4 linked regions of the Caenorhabditis elegans genome follow. The protein of the gene in region 4 interacts with the protein of the main gene of each other region in a pairwise test. Each region holds a gene or a part of one and is shown on either strand. Other genes may lie near its edges. The genes, in order: egl-13, pax-3, gldi-8 and hinf-1.

Region 1 (4,600 bases), on a different chromosome or scaffold from region 4:
AATTCCACAATTCATCGATGTTGCCCTTGGATAACTTGTTGTTGTGGGGATGGAGGAAACAGGGGCTAAGAATCGAAATCTATGAGCAAGGCCTGGTTAAGCCGATTATAGTCTAGAGCAGGATGGATCAAGGCCTATTTGTCAAATGGGAAAGGGCATAATGTTCGTTCAATATTGAATATTACAAGAGCTCCGTTTTGGTTTGACAACAAAAGATAGGTGTTATTAAGTGTGATATATAAAAGAAGAACAAGTGTGACAAGTGACTCCTTCCGCTGATTTGAGGTCAGTTTTTGAAAGAAAAAATTTTCGCAACAATTTCTGTTCAAGATTCGTATGAGAGTGGGACGAAAAGATGAAAAACGGGGGAACTTTTGTCGTCTTCCAGGAAGATGCAACAATTGACAAACATCTTGGCAGGCATTGTTCCATCAAGAGCTCGGGGTTCCCTGTGTCTTATCTTCCTATCAAAGATTTCAAACACGAAAAACGGATAGGAAAAAGTGATACTACGAGTACAAACGTTAGTTCGACGGATATTTTCAACACGTTCAAAATGGTGATATTTGTGGAATCGTTTCTCAAGGTGTCACACACTCTACTTACCATCAATTAACGAGACAATAGATAATCAAATAATGTCGGGGCAGGTGACAGGTTAGCAATAGTTGAACACCTAATAGAACATACGTCTCATGGCTTTGTTCCGTGTATCCGGGGCGCCGGTGACAACTGGCTCTTGTGGCGGCTGAACCTCGAAACAACGGTGCTCTTTTTCTCTCGATGTCACACTTTTTGAGAAACTGAGAAACTTTTCGTGCAATACAATGGAGCTCTCATTGCACTTTTAGTTTGGGACAAAAAATGTTGATAGGCTTGACGAGCGATGAGACACTGGGACAGTGGGACAGCGCAGATGTTTGATGAGCAGGAATGATGTTCGATTGTAGTGTTTTGCGAAGAATTGTTGTGTGATAAGTTTATGAAAAAAAAGTTAAGTCTCATGCACAACAAATAAGAAAGATTTCAAAAAAAGGTAAATCAAATATATTAGGTCTCCAAATAAGTTCTGGGTCAAAAATCATAACTTTGTTCGCTGTGTATCGATTTTCATGAAACTCTGGGAATTTATGTTATCAACTATAATCTTTCATTTAACAATAGTCACGAAATTTTTTGACCGCCCCAAGTGTCCTAACTCGGAGCCAATTTTTTCAGGCATTTTTCTGATCTCGCTTATTTTCAGCTTTGAATTGAGGGTTGTGTGCGGATTTTTCTTTGTTTAGAATACATTATTAGAAAACAACAAAAGTTTTGAAAAAATCCGTCCAAAAAAATTTTTTTTGGTTGGTCGTCAAAAAATCTTCAAAAAAATTTTTTGTCGAAAATTCTAGATTTTTCCTACAAAAATGATGTAACCATGAACCTCAATTGAAATTTGAAAAGAAGCGAGATCAGAAAAATGCCTGAAAAAATTGGTTCCGAGTTAGGGCACTTGGGGTGGTCAAAAAATTTTGTGACTATTGTCAAATGAAAGATCATAGTTGATAACATGAATTCCCAAAGTTTCATAAAAATCGATACGCAGCGAACAAAGTTATGACTTTTGACCCGGAACTTATTTGGAGACCTAATATACCACCAAATATTTCTCTACAGTGTGCCCAACGTCTATAGCACCACCCCACTAATTTGAGAGTTTGGTGTTTTTGAAAATATTTTTTGAAAAGGTGTTAGTACAGTTCAATAGAAAATGTTGAAAACCTATGGTCCTTGATTTTCACAACTTATATCTCAAAGTTTAGTTCGAAATTTTAACAATAAACGAGAAAATTATGAGGAGCCGAGAACTGGCCCCTGTCAAAAAATCCGATGAGTGCTATAGAAGTTGGATGAATGTTTTTTTTACAAAATTTTTACTTAATTTTCAGGTATCATCATAAAACTGGGGGAGCATATCCTTTGCAGCATTTGCTATCAAACTGTGCTGACGTTTTTTTCTGAAAATAATTTGGAAGCACCAAACTCCCAGATTAGAAAAGGGATGATATAGACGTTAGTTGTAATGTATTAGTCTTGTACTCTCATTGCTTTACTTTGACAGCTTCTATCTCGGTTGGCAAATTATGTGCAAAATGTTTTTGTACATTTCAACAGTAAATAATTTTTTGGTAAAACTTAAGAAGACTGATATACGAGGTAAATCCATTGGGGTGCAAGTTTAATACGGAAAATGCGGTTTTTAACTACAATCAAGTATGTCAATGATCACTCGCATGTTTCTCCCTTGAAGCTCAAGCTGAATAGAGTATGGTTTCAATAGATTCTCAATAGAGTATTCAAAAGAAATAATTGACATATACACCCTACCAAAACTGCAAACACAAGAGCAAGGATAATTCATCATCGAGATCTCCAATTATCCCTTACAGTCTGTCAAGAATACATGAATATTTGATAAGGTAAAGTATGGAAGAAGAAGGATAACACAAAGGATAGATAGAAAAGAAGAAAAAACAATTATTTATGGAATTGGCAGTGCCCATAGGAGGCACATGATGATAAACTCGGAGTTAGCTAGGATATTAAAGGGATCATGAGCAGTGACGGGTGCGGCGATTTGGCCTACTATTATTATGATCAACAACGGCACACGACAAGGAGAAAATAAGACTAGACAAAGTAATAATTCTTTGAAATCTGTCACCAAATCTGGAAGTGTTGCTCTTGCTCCAAATGCGCAAATATAGGCAAAAGTGTGAGAAAAGTAAAGTTGGTGAGGAAGAGAATACTTACCAGATGCTTGCTGGTGCAAATACTTGTTCTACTTGTTTTGTTATTTCAATGAAAAAGCAAAACAGTGCTCACAACATTAAAAGGGGAAAGAGCATGGCACAGTAGAAACTAGAACGGAAACTAGTTCTTACTCACCACTATAGAGCCATTCGGGAGATTGTTGTTACTGATCCAGCAGTATTATGGAGTATTGATTTTATTTGGAGTGTCTGGAATTTTAAATTTGCGTTTGTAAATTCAAGCCTGAAGAAAACATTGAAAAAGAAGAATCAAAAGCGTTAGAAATTGAAACTAGAGAAACTTAAAAAGGCCGATTATTTGAGTTCAGTGGCATTATTAATTCAAACGATTCACACGCGCTGAATGAATTGTGAATTATGAAGGAGAACAAAGATATTGCACAGATATATATCAGAAATTCCTTTTCTTCAATTGAGGATAGTCTCACGATTTGTCCTTTGAGGGTAAGAAGAAAAAGAAAAGAGAAAAGGTTCAAGTGAATAAAAGATGGGGGCAAAATGGAAAAATGAGAAAAAAAATGTTTGGTTGAAAGTAGAAAGCAACACTTAGAGAAACATAAGTTCAGTAGTCAAACAGAAAATATAACTAGTTGTCCCACAAGGAAGCCTATGGTATTAATTTTTTGTTTTGGACTGTTCACGAAATTTCATTGGTCACTAGTTTCAGACATGGTGACCCAATTGAACTGGCAATTTCAGACAACAAACTTTGAACCAAGAGAAGAAGAGAGAGGGAGAAAACAGGAAAAAGCTGGTATTGGTTGTCTAGGTGATTGGAAGAGGGAACTGGTATCAGACAAGTGGTTCAAGGTAGTTGTGTTCCATCACACAATGAAGAGAATGAAAGAGAGTGACCACCCCACCTGAAAACAAAACTGACCACGCAATTTGTTTGTCCTCTGAATCGTCTCACAATAAGTTACACACTGTGCCCTCTTCTCTGCAAAGTGGGTGGTGGTGGTGTGTTGTCGGAGAGACACGGTGGGGACCCGCGCTTCTTCAGAACTGGATGTGTTGACCAATGGCGCAAAAGTTTTCCAAAGAACGCGAAATGGTAATAGGTCGAGAACCACTTGCAACAATTCCATAATGTTTCTTTTAGTTGACACAATGCACCTACTCAACCTCGTTTCGAAGATTCGGAAATGCATTTATGATAGACTAAGAGGGCATCGCAATACGAGGACGGGAATCAATCATAATGTATTTTAGGTGGACATTTTAGCTTTTGACAGTAAAGAATATTGAAACACACTGAAATTGTATTTCAATATAGCCTAGAAATTTTAAGTAGGCCAAAAAGTTCTAACTATAGTGAGAGGTTATGACATCTAGGAACTTGGAATATTAAAAAAAATCTTAGTTACTACATACAACAAAATCCTAGAGTATACGAACTCTTATATAAGTCTATATAAAATAAGGTCAAAAGGCTATCACAAATGAAACCGTAAAGATACGGTTTTCTAGTTCAAGAATATACAGAGTCGCCCATAATTATGGCGACCACTTTGCAGTAACTCAACGTTTCTGTTTTTGGAACGAGATATTAAAACAAGTGAACTTACACAGTTATTAACCACCCTGAATAACTAGGTAAATTAAATAGGTTTGCATATTTAGAATTGTTAAAAACACAAGAACTGAAAAAACACATCGAAATGTTAAAATTTTAGATCTATGCTTGAACTTGAATTTGAGATTGAGACATTTAGTATTCCGATTTTCTAAGCAAACTCAAATACTGTTGCACAACGCGTGATGTGACTAATGTTTATGTTCTT
Region 2 (7,837 bases), on a different chromosome or scaffold from region 4:
CAAAGAGATTTAGATAAGTTTTGGGAAGAATGGGTGAATTCTTAAGGTAATGTTTTAAAATTAATTCTGGACTTTCAAATTAAATTTGTGTATCAATTTCTGATCGACTTTCAAATATCACAGGTTTTATTTGAAAGTTCAGAAATAAGTTCAAAGCGTTTAGCTTGATGATGGCGGAGATGATTGACTTGATGGGGGACTTGATTGGAGTATGTGTTGAAAGAATAACGGATTCAATTGAGGACTCGTTGAGTAGGAGGGTAGGAACATCATCGGTGAAGGCAGCAGCGTTGGGTAGGACTGAAAATCAAAGTTTTAGTAATTTGTTTTCTAATATATAGTTTCGATTTCTAACTAACCGGCGGAGATGATCCAAAACCTTGAACATTGTACTGTTGATACATTGGCATATTTTTCCGACATCTTGCTCGCCGATTCGAAAACCACGTCATAATTTTCTCTTCGCTGAGCCCTGTCTCCTTGGAAATGCTCTCTCTGGCGTTGGCATGTGGGTAAGTGTCTGCGCGGAACGCATTTTCAAGAACATCTAGTTGCTCGGCAGTGAATGATGTACGATTTCGACGAGACGATGCGTCGTTTGATGGTGAAGAGCCCTCTTCGTCATCCGATGACGATTTGCTGCATTCGTCTGAAAATTATTTTTTTGAAAGGGGTTATCATAGCTACCATTTTTGGGTACGTGAATGCATTTTTGAATTTTCATTAACAAACTCTATACATCCTCTCTCTATACAGACTTTCGAAATGTGGAACTAATATTTTTCATCTGCCATTTTTTTCATCCGTTGAAAATCGAAAGGGCAAATGTTCCAGGCGTAATTAAAATAACAAACATTTTCAATAGCATGCGACGTCAAAAGTTGAAGTAACTATTGCAACTAGAATATATTTGATACCAGGGAGGCTCTAATGAATAATGAGCATGCTGAAATGCCTTTCTGAAAGGCTTCCGGACTCGCCTGCCTCGAGACTGAAAATTATTTGAGTTCCGCATACGTTCTATTTCAAAAATTCAAAATCAGACCCCCGCCTATCAAGCATTTTCCCTCAAAATCCGGAAATCAATGAGTCAATTGTAAGGTATCTAACAGAGAAAGACTACGGCCTGCCAGTCGAGTCGCCCAATTACTATATATAATGTTGCGCCACAGTGGGTGGTCTCAGTCATGTCGTAGGCCTCTCGCATAGACACACTTCTCTAAAAATAATCGATAAAGATCGGGAGAGACCCTATTGCGGGTGGGGGAGGGGGGGTGTCTCTTCTAATTTATAGACTTGACACCTTTGTGTACTTGAGAAAGAGATATCATGTGGTGGAATGGACCCTATTAATTTGTTTTTATCGTTCCATTTTTTGACGGATCACTCCATCATCACCGTCGTTTCTCACATCCAAGTTTTATGAGCTGTGCGCTAATCGGTTTCTGTCACAGGAGTATTTTATAGTGACGGAAGGAAGGAAGGTAAGGTTATTTCTATACAATGTTCTAATTTGAAGAATGTCGATTTCAAGGATGCTCAACTTGATCTTTTATCTCATTAATATTTTTCATCCGTTCTTGTCAAATCAAAGCAGATTTCTACCGCACTTAGTCCTCTTTCTGGTAATAGTCTGCAGAAAACTTTAGCTACTTGCCGAGTAGAGTAAGATTTTCAAAAATGAATTCTCCCTTAAGCATACTGTAGTTTTTAACGATATCGTTCTATAATTCCCAATGCTCATTAAGAACGGCGCGGGGGAGTGCTATAATATATTCCCATTGAGCAATGTATTCTGAGCGTATTCCAGGAAGAAGAAACTTTTGTTTCCATTTCTTTTTTCACCTGGAACTTTATCACTCCAGTCTCTGATACCTAAATATCAGTCGTTGCGTTGTGTTTTCAACGGCTACCTATTTTTGGAAAATATTAATTTTTGTTACTTATGAATGTAATAGAAATATAGACATGTGGAAAATCATGGAAGTATTCTGACAAATTCGGGAAATTTCTGAAAAATCACGTTACCGCACCGCCGAGTTCAAACTTTGGTTCAAGGTTTGTGGTGGAGAGAGGGTAACTCGGACTCGGTAAAAACTTGATAATAAACAAGCTCACAATGATCTGTCATGCCTGCCTGCCTTCCAGGCAAGCTGACCAACACCTACTAACGATCTTGCGCAACATACCGTAACCCACATCCCTAACAATCATATTGTCAAATGTCAAATGTCAAAGTTTTAATGTGTTAAATTGCGGATATGTATTATGTTCGTATGCATGTGTTTGCTTTTTTTCGCGCATCCCAATCTTCTCTCGCGCCAGTCACTCGTGTGCCCATCCTGATCAATTGGCCGCGAAAATATGGAATTTATTGGATCGTTTTCTCCTCCTCCTACCTACCTATTTGAATAGGCACCTATCAAGTGCGCAAATCTTCTCCCCCTATCTTAATTGCTACGTGTATGCGAAAATGTGCGAAGTTGAGCGGTGGTTCACAATTTAAGGAATGACAAGATTGACGACAAGTTAGGAAGCGGGAAAAAACGGGACAGGAAGAGAGGGGAAGTGTTGAAAGTTTTGGAAGACAAGAAGTTGAAACAGCAGGAGGTAGTGGCATGACCCCTAGAAATTCAAGTAACTTGCAAAAACATAAGTTTGTGGCTGTCTAGTTTCTTATAAAAAGTAGGCTAAAAGTTTTGGAAGTTTTAAAAACCAAAAATTTCACTTTTATTCGTTCTATATAAACAGTCTCAAAGCTGTTGTTAAACTTGAATTTTCAGACAAAGATTTAATGAAACTGTTTGGAGTGCCGAACATGATAAAAATGCCTGCCTGCGTGCCTACAAGGTAGGCGTATGATGCCTGGAATTTGACATGCTCTTTCTTTAGATTACGATTTTCTTGCACAACTACCGTACCCTACCGAATGTGATTAACAACTGAGCACAGATCAAACAAGATTTTAGGATCAAAAGTGCCTGCTTACCGGACATCAAGGCGACCTACCTATAGGCTTCACAATGCAACATCAGACCCTAGACTTCACACCAAGATGTAGACGAATAGGCAGTAGGCAAGCTAACAGGTAGGCCTGAAGACACGCGGGACATTCCGGTACGCTTGTTGCAGATCAGGAGAAACAAAATGCGGTACACTACCGTAACCCGTAATTCAATCAGTCATGGTTCTCTCCCTGAAGATCTCCGTGGCGGCGCACAGCATGCAACTCACAAACAAATACGATGGTCTTGTTGATTAAAATCAACCCCTGACGCGTGCCCCCTTGTCTAATTCACATCATTCTTCACCGACGCTTCTTGTCCTTTCCGCCCCCACTTCTTCAACGTCTTCGCCTTTATCGTCTTATCACACCGTTAACATACACAGCGACATACAGGCGATACTAATCAAAGTGTTAATGACCGTTATTATATCAAAGAAGTCCAATATACAGTATGCCCTCTGGCCCCTTTGGGAATATTGGGAGGAATGAAAACTTTCATGCTACGTCTGTTTGTGTGTTACTATATGGCAGAAGAAAATTGAATTGAAAGAACGGAATGTTGCCTGATTGAACAGGAAATCCGACACCCAAAAAAGGTGTTGGAGGACATGAGACAAACGGAACGAAATTATAAATGTGTGAAATCAAGACTATTCCAATTAGACCACTTACCAATTGAAATTCCCAGAATGCTGTCGATACTGTAGCTCAGCCGTTTTCGTTCCATTTTCTTCGGAACCCCGACGCCTGCAAAAAAGTATGTGGTGATTTGTGTGAAGATAAATATTGATAAGGAAATTAAAACAAAAAAAAGTGATAAGGAAGATATGATGAAAAAGTGCAGCAAAAAAGATGATATGATTGGCGTGAAGAAATGATTGATGAGGTTATAGAAAGTGATAATTTGATCGAATATGTCTAGAAGTTCTTCTTGTGAGGTTTGTTGAATTTTTGTGGAAAATCACGCATCAAAAAATGACGCCCAAGCAAGTTTCCATGAAAGTATTCGAAACAAAAAAAATCGTTGTCAACAGTTAAACAAACACAACCACAGCTATCAGAAGCGGAACATTCATCAAACGAAACGAATTTCTGTTTGTTTTTCATCTATTCCTCTACCTTTTTTTTGCCTTCACAGTTTTCATCATTATTATACCTTTATTCCCAATAAGCCTTTTTATCGCAGGTACTGTTGGAGCATTTCCTTTTGTGCAAATGTCTTTGTGAATAAGCCAATCTCGGAGCTCTGCAGCGCTCATTTGTGGATTCTCATCACATGCGATCAGAATTTCTTTCTCGACGGCTTGGACTGTAAGTCGAGCGCGGGGACTTCCACCGATCTGAAATTAATTCATAGATATTTATGTTTAAAAAGCATTTGCTTTCGCTAGGCTTATGTAAGAAATATGACGAATATTTTCGGCAAATCTACAAAACTGCCCAATCCCAGATTATAACTCTTTTTTTTATTAAATTAAATGTAGAAATATAGATAGAAAAATATTTGATCAGTTTGAAAATATCAGTTATTTGCATTGAAATAGTCGAGAAAAATTTCAAAAACTGTTTCAAAGTTGTCATTTGCCGAAAACGTTTTGATATCAGTTCTTGGAAAGTTTCAGGTTGTTTTTGAGATGATTTTAAAGTTTATAAATGAATAAAAATTGTTTTGTATATTTGCACTCCCCGTTCTACACTCTTTGCCGTTTTGCAACCAACAAAATGGAATTTTCAAGAATTCAAAGTTTACTTTTTTTGGAATTGTAATTACCGTATGTTTTTGGTAACCAAAAACCTAGTAGACAACAACTACTTTAACAGAAACACAGACATCCGACGCATTTTTTGAAAAATGCCGAAAAGTGCCACCCGGGGCGTCGCACCTGCGCGACCCGCCAAAATTGAGTATTACGGTACTTTTTTGAATCAGGACGACGACACGCGGCACGTGTAGGCAAACATTAAATTTTATGGTTATGATTCGCCTGCCTGATGACCTAATTAGCAAATTATCTTATCATCCAGAAAATGCACTGACCTGTCCCGGAGATATTGAGCCCGTCTCGGCGTAACGATTCAAGATTTTCGAAACAGCTCCATGAGATACTTTGAGTTGACGACTGATGTGACATGGTCTAAAAGATTATTGTTAGTGTTCTCTAGAAGTTCGGACTACTTACTTTATACCCTTTTTGGCCATTGAAATGATAGCATGACGAACGTGAATTGGAAGGGGTCGACCGTTGATGAAAACTCCACCGAGTTGGTTAACACGACCCTGAATTAATTTTGGGCTTCAATAGAGGCGGTGAGAAAGGAGAAGAAATTGAGACTTGGAAAACTCAAAACATATTTTCAAAAACTTTTCAAATGCTATGAAAATCTAACTTAAGGCTAACTATAGTAATGATACTATCTAATTTTTGTGATGCTTGATGAGCTCTATTAACAATAAATCAAAAGTTTCTATAGGCTACAACTTCAAACTGTATAATTAACAAGAGCTTAATTTTAGCTCCTTAAAACGTCTGAGCCAGTATAGAAATAATTCGAAATTAACGTACATTCTAGAACCATCTAGAATTTCCAAAAATTTCTTCAATCAAATTTTTCCGGGATACATCTCCTACTTCTAGACATTAAAAAATACCTGAGCAGTAGTTTATGCACTACAACTAGAAAACAACTTATCGAAACCATAGACTTACCTGCCCAAGAATGTGATTAAATGTGATAGAATCTGTGGTCATTTTGTTAGTAGTGGATGGGATATCAGGAGCACGTATGGCTGGCCCCCAATATACCGAATGTGTGAATATCAGGTATATAGCGTGAAAACTTAAGGAGCGAGTAGTTTCGAGGTGACACGCCTTGTCGAACTGTGAATGGGCGGGACGGCGATCCCGCCCACCTATGCGCATGCGCGGTCTGTTACAGGCATGCATAGTCTCGAGTACGGTAATCGAAACCAGCGAGACATAGAGAAGGGCGAAAGACACGGGCGGTAAGCATCAAAGGACGTACTAGTAGATGTTGGCGCGGGGTATGTGGGTTTGTTATCAGAGATATTCTGACTAGGAGGTGGATTTTTGGAGATGAAGATTTATGTGCTCGATGGTTTTGATTTGAAAGGTCAATGTTTGGTAGTAGCACCTGCAAAATGGTGATTCACCTGTGGATAGTCTCGAAGAAAAGGACATCTAGGAGCGTGCGGATCTTGCAGATTCAAAATATTTGCAGATAGCTACATAGATCTAAGCAGTCCACCGTGCTTCTGGGTGAAGCTAGAAGTAACTCTAACATGAAACTGGAACCAGAAACGAATACTTCAAAACTTTAAAAATCGTTCATGTCCATTAAAAGCTTAAACAGCGTTAGAATTATTCATGCTACTAATATTTGAAAACAGCTTCTTAATGGATTTCAGACAAAGTTTACTTTCTTTGTTTGCTTTTTCGATTATGTGATTTGTTGGACTTACCTAACACAAAAATAATTTTCTGATTACCAAAAACATACATATTCCAAAAGTTGCAATTTCACGGAAACAAGAACAGATAGAACAAACAGACAACTTTCGAGAGTAGTGTAACTTGTTGGCAATGACCAATTTCCCCATTTTCATTTCCAGTGTTCAAAAGTGTAAACATATTTTACAAACAAAAGAGGTCAGGAGGAAAAGTGCTTCGAGGATACGGTACAAATATTTCCAATGAGAAATTTAAAGATATGACTTTGCAAAGATCGACTACATTCTTGCCTACCAGCCTACGGGTAGGTTAATTTGAAATCTGAAAAAACTAACATATATATGTATCTGTAATTTGAGACCAGTGTTAGTTGTAAGTTTGGAAAAATAGTTGTCACCTCTATTCATTCAGATTTTCAAGTATTTCTATAACTATTCTTTTTTCAGTATCCCTTTACTCTGTCTTATCTGATTATTCAATTTCAGACGTTCTTTTAGACCTATCTGTTTTGTGTCGGCCCGACTTAAGAACCTACTTGTCTTATCTCGATCTACAATGTGCAAAACAAGTTCATCCGCGAACTGTCAATCAATAAATTGCTCGCAATTAGCGAGTCGGTGTTTGGGAGGGCTCGTGTTGGGAAAGTTTATGTCATTGAGATGAATAATGGTATTTTTAGTTGTTTACCGACGGTGTCTAAAGATATAAATCTATTCTAAACTACACAATTGGAGAATTATTTGTGAGTTTCAGTTAGAAACAAAACGTGAAAATATGTGAAATAATGTGAAATAATCCTAGTCATTAATCCTTTATTACCCCATACAAATAGCCTTTTAATACCGAAAACACCTGAAAACTACACGTGCATTACCCAATCAACAAGTAGGGCCCAATTTCTTTTTCGGCACGTGTCACATCATCATTTCCTTCTTCATCTTCCCGGATTGCGCAAGGTTGTCTTACACCATTTTCCTGATAATCTGGGACCATGTTATCAGGGGGACGAAGAAACGGTGGCGGTATCGTTTGAAGTGGTATGCGGTCATAATTAAGGGCCACGCGCCGATGTCAACTTTTGGGGGTCTTCACACCTTTGTAACACTTGGATATATCTTTATCTATCTATCCGGAGAAGTGTGAGATGATGATGATGCGGGGTTTTCCGCTATCTGAAAAGGGCATCATCTATGGAGAATTGATGGGCTGAGTGCGGGAGTTTGTTGACAAAATGTGAAAAGAGTTTGTCCCAGCCACCGTGTTACAGTGTCTCATTAAACTCTACAATACTTATGTCATTATTGTAATTTCTCAAATAGATGATACAACACTTTAAAGGCACACACTGTTTGAAATGAAA
Region 3 (5,227 bases), on a different chromosome or scaffold from region 4:
AGAATCTTTAAGATCCTTAATTTCTATGCAAGAATACGTAGGAGTTTTACTTTGCTCAGGAAATTTTATTTTTTGTCAGAGGAGTATATCCGAAAAAGAACAAAAAAAATGCACATTTCTCAAAACGCGTATTTTTTTTTCAGTTCGATGTCAACGGTAACACTGCTGGAACGGAAAAAGTTCATGATGCCGTCGACAATCGGTCTATAATTTGAACTCTCTGCTGCTGCTTCTGCTACTGCTGCTACTGCTGCTCATCGCCAATTTTCAATCCTCCTGAGATTTTTTGATGGTCATTCATTGTTTTGTGCATATCTCTCTCTCTCTCTCTCTCTCCCATGATTCTCAAATATTTCAATGTATTTACACCCCCACTCTGTCCGCTGCCTAATCCCCGACCGAATAATCAGATTCGCTGGAAAAATCTGCGATTCTTTAATATTGCAACCACCCACCCAATAATATGTGTCTCATCATCTCGGTACTCTCACTTGAGCCGTGTTTTCTGTAGTATTTTATTCTCTAAAAAAAAATCATTTTTAATATAATATACGTACACATTTATATCTGTAATATATATTTTTAAAAATGATTCCCCCCTCCCCTCCATTCGTTGTTTTTTTTCTGTGGGTTTCAAGCTTTTGAGCTGTGAAAAATCTCATCCCATCATCATTTTCTATTGTTTTTTTTCACAGTTGAAATATCCTATTTTATCTTTTTCCTTTTTTTTTCATTTTTTTTTTTTCATCGTGCGGGATTCATTTTTCGTCCCGCGAAACGCCCGCCGCCGCCCAATCCCACTCTCTCTCTCAGTCTCTTCTTAATGATCTTCGAAACTATTTTTATTTCCCTCATTAACAATTACGAGGTCGTCTTTTTTTTTCCCCACCCCCCACTGTTTGGTGTAATTTTTGTGTTCGGGGAGGTTTTTTGTGTGTGGATTTTTGGATTTTTTGGATTTTTTCAACAAAAAATTCCCCCGAAATCAAAATTTTTTCCCATTTTCCCCTCAATATTAGTACTGTTGTATAAATAAACTTGCTCTCTCTCTCTCTCTCGAAATCTCCTACTATTATTTTTTTAAAAGATTTTTCCAACAAAAATTCAAAAAACCACACAAACGACCTCTCTGCACGCGGTAATCCTCTCTCTTTTTGTCCCCCATTTTCTCTGTTTCTCTTTTTTTCTATCCCCTATACCTGTGATTGGAATATCCCATTTTTCCAGCAACAAACCAGCAAAAACAAAAAAAAAAAACTTGAAGAATTTCAAAAAAAAAATGACAAAAAAATCATAAAAATCAAAAGAACCTACATTTTTGTTGCATTTTATAGACACACACACGCACACACACAAGCAAACAGACATAAAAATTCAAATTTTTCGAAAAATTAAAAAAAAAAAAAAATTTCCCTCCCAAGGCCACCTGGGCGCCAAAAAGATAGTGGGTGGCCATGAAAAGTGCAATACTTTTTTGAAATAAAAAATAGTGTGAATATCGGAGAGACGCAGAGAAGAAAGGTCGAAAAAGTGAAAAAAGAAGAATTCTTTGTTCCCTTTCGTTTTTCCAATCCAATTGAATAGGACTTTGAGATTACTGTAGTCCAAAACTAAGGTCCCCGGGGGTCTCGACACGAAAATTGTTTTTGTTAAATGCGGAAAAAGGTATGCGCCTTTAAGGAGTACTGTAGTTTCAAAAAATTTGGTTTTTTCTCCAAAAACAGTTTTAAAAAAATCGAATTTTTTTCTTTCTCCAGTCTAAAAATGTGTTTTTAAAGGTGCACAATATTTTTCAGATGGGTATCGGCGCGCAAAAAAAGTTAATGGTAATAGTTTCTTCAAAATTATATGCGGTTTTCAGAGAAATTTTGAGTTTTTCTTTTAATTATATCAAATATTTGGACGAAAATTTAAAGGATTAATGCACAGATCCATTTTTTCTTCCTTTTTTTACTAGAAAAACTATGTAAAATTTTTTTTTTAAATCGCAATTTTCTCCAGGTATACGGTAAGCAAGTCCGCAAACACCGAAGCATTGCTGCACGCGTCGCACGACCGCGACGCGTCTCCCCCCTCTTTCGTCACGCGCTCATCGATTTTCGAAGTGAACACACAACCAGTTTCGTCAATTTTCTGCGCTATTTCTTCATTTTTAATGGAGATTTACGATTATCCAATGTCGTACGCTGATTTAACTCCTGTGACAAGCTGCTCATCATCGTCAAATTCTGAAGCGGACGCTAACAACTTTTCAACGGTTATCCTTTATTAAAAAATGTCAAATTTCTTTAAAAATGGCTTTTTTTTCGATCAAATCTTGTGTTTTTTCGGCAAACACTATTCGAAGCCATTGGGTGTGTCAGTGACAATGTTTATCCTCGAACAAAAATGTAATTAAACCAATTAAACCAACCAAAAAAACTAAACTCAAACTTGGGAAAATTAAACCTACTCAGATGCTTTATGCTGAGGTCTTCTCACTACCGCCGACCAATTTTACTTATTTTTTTATTTTCAGAAGAACAAAAATGTCAATGAATTCCAAAAACTCATTGAAGAATTGGAATTTGAGCCGGAAGACCGAAGAGTTCCCGAGGTAGCTGAAGAAGTTGAATCCGAAGACGAGGAAGAGGAAGATGTCCAAATCAAGTATCCTTACGAACGGAAAGACGCTTATCAAGACCTCCAAGAAAGGATCGAGCGCAGGCTAAACGATTCTGGAGATGAGAAGCTTGAGCAGAAGGCGAAGGTAAGATTATTTTTTTTTAATTTGCAACTGAAACTTTTTATTCCAGGAACTTCAATCGCTTATCCGAATGAGCCAATCACAATGGAAAGTCGAGCAAAAGCAACAGCTGGAAGATTCTCTGTTGAAGCCACACACTGCTGGATCGATTTTCACTTGCGTTATGTGCTCGAAAGCATTCCCGAACGCTGAAGCTCTCCAGATTCACACTGATCAAGTGCATGATTTGTCTAGATTAAAGCATCGTTGTAAGCTGTGCGGAAAAGCTTATAAGCGCAAGAAGAACCTTGATGCTCATATGGCCCTCCATCTCAAGGAAATCCAATGCGACAACTGCTCACTGGTCTTTCAATCTGAAAAATCGTTGCAAAGTCACATAATCCGGCATCATCAAGAGGATGCGGATGAACTTGAAGTATGGAAGGCGCCGTGCTCGATTTGCAAGGAGCTATTCCCATCAACATCTGTCAAAACTCACGAATGGTACTGCAAGAATAGGGAGAAAATTATTGAAAAACAGCGAGTATCGAAGATTCTGAAAGTACAAAGTTTGCCGTCAAGCCCAGCTCTTTCCACCGTCAGTTATGCATCATTCTCAAGCTGTCAGCCTGGGCCAATCACAAGCCCAGTCTCCTATAGGGATAAATCGTGTCAAGTGTGTGGAGAGAGCTTCGCGAGCCGACAATCAATGCTCCGGCATGTTGGTAGAAAACATCCAGATGCCAAGAACGATCCAAATGTCACGGCTGTGAGATACATTAGCGCTGAATCGGTAAGGATAAGAATTTAAAGGTGGACTACGCTCAGTGGGGAAATTGCTTTAAAACACGACTATGGTACCACAATGACCGAATATCATGATAAAAAATTCTAGATTTTATATTATTTTTTGAAAATTGAAAAAATCTCGAATTGCATCAAATTCCCATTTAAACCTCCCGCCAAGTGATTTTATCGATGGAGCGCGCTTGCTCGTTTTTATTTTAATTTATTGTTATTTTTTCTTATTTTTCGCCGATTTTTCATGTTTTCAGTGTAATTTTATGAGAAATTTGAAGAAAAAGTCAAAATAATGCAAATTCTCGATTAAAAATCAACTTTGCAAGCGTAAAAACGAAGAAGTACCACTTTTAAACGATTTGGAGCCAGTAGTATTTGATTTCACAGATTTACGCTTGTAAAGTTGATTTTTAATCGAGAATTTGCATTATTTTGGCTTTTTCTTCAAATTTCTCATAAAAATACACTGAAAACATGAAAAATCGGCGAAAAATAAGAAAAAATAACAATAAATTAAAATAAAAACGAGCAAGCGCGCTCCATCGATAAAATCACTTGGCGGGAAGTTTAAATGGGAAATTGATGCAATTCGAGATTTTTTTTCAATTTTCAAAAAATCATATAAAATTTTTAATTTTTTTTTTGAATTTTTTTTATCATGATATTCGGTCATTGTGACCCCATAGGCATGTTTTAAAGCAATTTCCCCACTGTCGCTACTCCACCTTTAATGAATGAAAATTTAAAATTAATGAATTAAAATTTAAAATTTTCAGCCCAAGCATCCATATGCTTGCATTGAATGCGGAAAACGATTCACAACGGTCACCGCTTTGTCAACACACAAGGCTCGTGTTCATTCACAATCCAATCGCTTTGAATGCACAATTTGCCACAAATCCTATCCGGTTCCATCAGAATTGAGGAAGCACATCAAAAGAGTTCATGAGAAGGATGCGCCCAAATCTCGATCAGCATTGGAAGAATTACCGGAAATGGACGATATTTTCTAAATTTCTCTAGATTCAAATGTTCAAGATTTTGCTGTAATTTTCCCACCTCCCCCCCCCCCTTTATTTTCAAAATACCGGTCCGAACGGGTTCCAACCGAGTTTACTAGATATTCATGTAGAGATTTCAACACAATAAATGAATTAAAATGCGTGAAGCCTATTCCTCTGCAAATTAATTCCAGCCAGCGGATTTCAAGCTTGATGACATTGAAAAATATTGGGTAGTTGTCTCACCGAGAACAGGCCTAGTTTTACGAACAGGCTTAATATTAGGATTAGGCTTTGGCTTAGAATTAGGCTTAGGCTTGATTTCAGGCTTTGACTAAAGCTTAGGTTTGGGCTTAGGCTTGTGCTTTGGCTTAGGCTTTGGTTTTGGCTTTTTTTTTTTTTTGGCTTAGCTAACGCTCCCCCACTGACGCTATGTAGAGATTTTTCATATATTTTATTAAAATCAGGGCTTCGCCCCGATTTTAATAAAATATATGAAACCCTCTTAAAAAGTTACAAGAAGGTTTTTCCTTGCGCTTGGAGCGCAAAAGAAAAGAAAAAGAGCTATTTAGACTTAGGGTGCCCAACTGGAATAAAATATAGGAAATCCTTATGACACACCGGCGGTATGGCGCGGCTTAAGCCTAAATAGCCACTTTTATCAAAATACATTTGAGCGAGGCGGCTGTAAACTATTCGT
Region 4 (5,527 bases):
TTTGGAAATTTCGGCGAGTTATAAAAGTTCGAAGAAGGTTTTTAGAGAGCATCTGAAGATGAAATATTATTTTATTGGGGTCTTACAATTAGCAATTTAAATTTTCAACAATCCGGCAATTATCGGTATGTTTTGAATTTTTAAAGTTCGAAATCAAGTTAAGTTCTCGAATTCGATAATTTTTCACCGTTTTTAGAAAGAAAAAACATTCTGACATTGTTTCAGAGAAATTGAAATTTAACTCTTAAAAGTTACATATTTTGTCGTTTTTTTGTTGAAAATCGAGAAATTCAGTTTTTTTTTTTAATTTTCATTTACAAAGAATGTCAATCAGTTTTTAAGAAAAATATAGAAAATTGCATCAAAAATAAAATTGGACTTTTTCGGAAAATCAGTAAATAGTTTTTCAGTAGTCATAAAATTTTCAATTCTCCAGAATTTAAATAAATTTCCTTTTGTAATCGCCTATTTTAATAGTTTTTTTTTTTTTTTGGAAAATAATGAATTGGTTTCATACCGCATTTAGAGACAAATTGATTGTCCAACAATACGTGTAGATATTTATTTCAGATTAGATAATTGAAAAAAAAAATCCAAAGTTAAAAGGAAATAATTATTAAATTATAAATTAGAACATTGAAAATTTTGCAAACAGTACAAGTATATATCAAATGTGTTTGTGGGAGAAGACACGTGGCATACGTGTTTAAAGTGAATTGGGGCATCGATCGATTGATTGTAAGACAACTTGGTGAGAGGGGTGTAGTAATAAGGAAAGAATGGATAGAGCGAGAGATCGAATAGATAGAAGCATAATAAATAGAACAAAAAAGGCGATTATTTGGTAAGAATTGGTGGAAAAAAAAAGAAAGCATGCGATTGAGAGGGGTAGAGATCAGAATATTACTGAAAGAGAATAATTAAAATGAGAGGTGTGGATAATAGGGGAATTCGCTTTAAACCACAAAAAAGTGAGCTGAAATTCAGAAATAGTTGCTTCTGTGGTATTTTTGAGCGAAATCCCCCTTCTTCCTTAACATAAAGGTGGATAAATTATGTGAGGGCAATTTAACATATTTAATAATCATTTAATATGGAACATGTTGATGGTGGTGATGGGCTTGATCCTCTCCAGACTCTCCTCTAAACAACTTTTTCGTCTGAAGTCGCATAAGTCCATCGGCACACTTTTTGTAAGTAAAACGACTGAATCCATAGGGTATCTGGAGACGATGTTGACGGGTTAAATGGCGTCCCAATGCAAATCCAGTAGTATATGTTCGGTCACACAAATGGCATGTATATGGGGATGGATTGAAATTCTGAAAATCGGATGATTAAACGATTAGAATAAAATAAATCCACGAGTTTTCTTATATCGATTTTCTGAAAAAAAAACACCGGTTACCTCATCATGTTCTTTCATATGCTTCATGAGCTGTTTCTTCCACTTAAACTTCTCCGGACAATGCTTGCAACTGTACATGACGTCAGAATGGTACACAGCGTGACGGTTGAGCTCACTCTGAAAATTTTGAAATTTTTTAAAAATATTTTGTAATAAAAAGTATGTTCGAAAGGCTGCGACACCGAGAAGTTGGCAAAAACTTTGATTTTAGCAGAAAATGAGCTTTGTTGTAGAAATTTGAGAAATTTTCAAAATGTCTCATTACGAAATTCGGTAGATTTGGGCAATTTTAAAGCCCATAAGACATTTTTTTGAACTAAAATCTAAAATTGCCTGAAGCTTGATAAATTGATATTCATTTACAATTTTTCCTAAAAATTCGACAAAAATATTTTTCTTACCTCTGTGAAGAACAATTTGCTGCAAGTATCACATTTGAAATCTTTGGATCGTCTTGAATGCTTTGTCATTAAATGCCTATGAAGTTCTGCTCGGCAACCCAATCCAAGTGAGCATAGTGGGCACGTAAGACTGACTAAATGCCGTGTAACATGCATACATAACGCTTTTTCAGTTCCAAATCGCTTTTGACACAGTTTGCATAGATACGGATCTTCCATTTCCGGGTTCTTCATCAGAATTGTTCGTCGGAGACAATGATCGTAGAGCTTGTCGCGTCGGGAGAAGAATCGAGCACAGAATGGGCACGCGAGCACCTTCTCACCGCTGTGGTGACGAGCGTGACGTCGGAGATTGGCTTTTGAATCGGCAACTTGTGTGCAGGCGGTCCATTTACACGGGAACACCACTTTTTTGTCGCCATCTGTGTAGAATATTAGAATTTAAAAGGAAATTTTTTGTTGGAATAATCTTGAGCGGAAAATTAGATGCTATTTAATTATCATCCTCAATTGCAAATTTAGGTCGTATTTCACGATTTTTCGTTGATGAAAATTCTTTTTCAGTCAATTAGTATACAAATCACCGTAATCAACAAAAAATCGTGAAATAACAGACCAAAATCTGCAATCAGGGCGATAATTAAGTAAGAAATAAATTCCGGCATTGAAAGTTGTCCAGTTAAACAAAAAATTCGATGAAAATTTCAGTTTTTTAAAGTGAAAACAAATTTCTTCAGGAAATTTAATTGTCACTGTCCAGAAATCCTTACTCACTCGAAAAATTCTGTTGAATTCTATCAACATCGCCAACACCATCAATGTGATGTCCGACATGATCAAACAGTTCGGTTAATGAGTTAAACGGCATTCCACAATCCTCCCATTGACAATTCAGCAGCATTCCTTCATAATTAATATTTGTACATGGCTCAAAACCACAACTCTCTATTCCAATATAATCTTCCTTTTCAATCAGTGCTTCTGATCCTTTTTGCTGACAATCTGCTTGGAATACGTGCATTGAGACGTGTCGGTGGAGTTGGAATATCGAATCGAGATGCTTGTTGCACCCGCGAACTTTGCACTGAACAGTATTCATATGGTTCCCATTTTGAACTCCTTCCTCGATTACTGACACGTGGCCGAATAAATGATCAACGAACTCGTCCTTGCTCGACGAGCTAGACACACATTGACCCCATAGGCAGACGAATGTGAAAACTGAAAAATTAAATTGTTTAGTTTTAAACAAAAGTTGGCGTGATGGATCAGATTGAGCCTCGTCGCGACCATGGGTTCAGCATGTGAAAATATATCGTTGAAATTGATTTCAATGTGGCTTATATTTATATTTTGGCAATACTTCGAATCCATTTTAGAAATTCAAAAAATATTGAATTTCAGAGGTTTTACACATCATTTTGTAGCCCGATTTTCAAAAAATTTCTTGACTTTAAAAGCAGTGTAAAACCTCTGAAATTCAATATTTTTGAATGTTATAAATAAATTCGAAGCACCGCCGAAATATATAAGCCACATTTAAATAATTTTAAACGATGTATCTTCTACTGAAAATTCAGAATTTATTGAAATTAAAATGCGTACCCCTATTGGGCATATACGTTCAAAATCTTCCGAACCGTTAGTACTCATTGTCGAAAATCTGAATATTAATTACCTTGTGGATCATCCGACGATCGTTCACACCAAGTCATTGGCAACCAATGATTCATAACTTCTTCGCTAAGCTCTCCGCTCTCAGAATCGTTACTCGACGCTCTGGAAGCTCGAGGAGTGTGAGTAGAAAACCTTGTTGCAGACGAGATCGGTGCAGGTGTACGGAAAGAGTCCACAGAATCCTGACTATCTGAGTCTTGACTATCAATCATATAATGTAAATGTTGTTGTGGCTGGTGCTGATGGTGGTGATGATGATGATGTGGTGGTGCTGTTGGTGCGTACAAATTATGACGGGGATCCGGCTCGGCAATTCCAAACGAATTATAGTACGGAGGATGCTGGCTGGATGGTTGATATTGAATGTCGAAATCGAATTTGACTGGTTTCAAATCGGCATATGACATACTTTAGGATAATTGAATCTGAAAAACATGATTGAAATCTCGAAAGAGACAGTAATTGAGCAGGTAGGTATGAAATGCGTTAAAATTACGCAAAAATGAAGAACAAAAAATAAAAAAATCACATTGAAATTTTAAAATTTTACATGGAAATTGAATGGCGAATAATATAATAATTATAAATAAAGTGTGGGGGAAAAGTTCGAGGGGAAAGCTACTACCGGGGAGAGTAAACTGGGTATACAAAAAATCAATAAAAGAATTTAGAACATGGCGCCCTCTGCCGGTTGCTGCAATTTCAGATTCTCTTTGGCCATCATCATGTTCTTGCGGATATCCTCGAGCACGGTCTTGATCATGTAACTATTGCTCCAGTTGCGAAGTGTTGTCAAATTTCGCTTATCAATCACTCCATTGCTCTGATTGACTCCCACCATGTGAACTTTGGTGGTGAAACGAACGGTTGGTGGCTCTCGCGGATAATTCCCGCCGCACTGGATTTGCAGATTGTAGATTCGCGATTCGTATGGAGTCTGAAAGCAAAAAACTAATAATAAAAAATGATTAATTCCGCTGACTCACTCTCGGTGGACCAATGATGGAAGCAGTCCATCTGGTGAGAGTCATATCGCTGTCATCCTCCAAACCCCACGAAATGTTTCCATCTCCCTTGCCTTTTTGTCCTTCTTCAAGTTCTTCCAGCAGACGGAAATTGCGTGGTACATCGACTGGAAAAGAGAAAAATATGCGAAAATAATCATTTTTGAATTTAGAAAGCGAACTTACCCATTTTGAAAGTGCCCAAGTTGCTGGAACGCTGAAAATTGAAATTATTAACAAAGAAATTTGCTTTAAAATCCGAAAAATCAAGAAAAAATCGATAATTTCGTCGGACAATCCGCCTGCTAGCACGGCTTGACGCTCGTTTGCCGCGCGCTCATTCGATTTGTGTGAGTGCCCAGTGGAGCGCGTTTGCTAAGGCTAACTGTGTAGTCCTCTCGGACAAGATCTGTGAACATTGAAATGAAACACTTGGGTTCAATAAAATCACAAGAAAATGATGACAATTTTGTTTGCGACCGAAAAAAAATTATAAAAATTGAATATTGGTTATCATCGTTTCAATCTTTGTTTTGTATTAAAGGCACAGCTGCTAAAAATTGTTTTTTTTTTTTCAATTTTGCTAAAAGAAAATCAATTTTCTGATTTTTTGTTGAGTTCCCGTGCAAATCAATGTCCTAGCTTTTTAAAATTGTTTTTTGTTATGTAATTCTAATCAAATTTTGTCGAATTTTCAGAGATTTTCTGCTAAAACACTAAAAATAGTCTAAAAGTCGATAATTTGATAAACATTTACTCAAACCTTTTACGGAAAAATGAAACAAAAGTTGCAAAAATATAGTAATTTCGCAATTTTCTGAACGCGTACTTAAAGGTACACGGTTTGATTCGGATTGGTCCCGCCACAAAGTGTTACCATAACATTTTTCTCGCTGCGAGACCCATCCGAATAAATCCGTGCGCCTAATCAGTGCGAGTACGCATTTCATATTACTGATAAGTGCCATTTTTAGAACAATGAGCAAATCGATTTGCAAATCAAGCATGCGCGCAGCTGTAGTCCGACGATTCGGAGC

The links.
Region 1: the proteins of hinf-1 (region 4) and egl-13 interact in a two-hybrid assay, tested with the Caenorhabditis elegans proteins (one large-scale study listed by BioGRID).
Region 2: the proteins of hinf-1 (region 4) and pax-3 interact in a two-hybrid assay, tested with the Caenorhabditis elegans proteins (one large-scale study listed by BioGRID).
Region 3: the proteins of hinf-1 (region 4) and gldi-8 interact in a two-hybrid assay, tested with the Caenorhabditis elegans proteins (one large-scale study listed by BioGRID).

What each region holds. Positions count from the first base shown.
Region 1 is NC_003284.9:5,662,242-5,666,841, reverse strand, and holds the start of egl-13 (Transcription factor egl-13), read right to left. Parts: upstream 3,006-4,600; 5' UTR 2,932-3,005; intron 2,478-2,931; exon of another isoform or gene 2,338-2,477; intron 355-2,337; exon of another isoform or gene 162-354; intron 1-161.
Region 2 is NC_003280.10:10,144,768-10,152,604, reverse strand, and holds the start of pax-3 (Paired box protein 3 homolog), read right to left. Parts: upstream 6,036-7,837; 5' UTR 5,758-6,035; coding exon 5,716-5,757; intron 5,286-5,715; coding exon 5,188-5,285; intron 5,143-5,187; coding exon 5,046-5,142; intron 4,348-5,045; coding exon 4,164-4,347; intron 3,755-4,163; coding exon 3,680-3,754; intron 650-3,679; coding exon 360-649; intron 301-359; coding exon 160-300; 3' UTR 1-159. UniProt on the Caenorhabditis elegans protein: Transcriptional activator. Regulates the lateral/ventral epidermal cell fate decision.
Region 3 is NC_003281.10:12,595,457-12,600,683, reverse strand, and holds gldi-8 (C2H2-type domain-containing protein), read left to right. Parts: upstream 1-1,999; 5' UTR 2,000-2,155; coding exon 2,156-2,257; exon of another isoform or gene 2,258-2,518; coding exon 2,519-2,749; intron 2,750-2,795; coding exon 2,796-3,518; intron 3,519-4,302; coding exon 4,303-4,539; 3' UTR 4,540-4,690; downstream 4,691-5,227. Other genes in the region: epc-1 (Enhancer of polycomb-like protein), read left to right, coding at 144-210.
Region 4 is NC_003279.8:14,789,424-14,794,950, reverse strand, and holds hinf-1 (C2H2-type domain-containing protein), read right to left. Parts: upstream 3,912-5,527; 5' UTR 3,894-3,911; coding exon 3,488-3,893; intron 3,031-3,487; coding exon 2,584-3,030; intron 2,469-2,583; exon of another isoform or gene 2,380-2,468; intron 2,232-2,379; coding exon 1,810-2,231; intron 1,526-1,809; coding exon 1,409-1,525; intron 1,323-1,408; coding exon 1,089-1,322; 3' UTR 545-1,088; downstream 1-544. Other genes in the region: mrps-27 (Ig-like domain-containing protein), read right to left, coding at 1-52; uev-1 (Ubiquitin-conjugating enzyme E2 variant 1), read right to left, coding at 4,154-4,423, 4,473-4,618, 4,677-4,680; F39B2.3 (15-oxoprostaglandin 13-reductase), read left to right, coding at 5,469-5,527.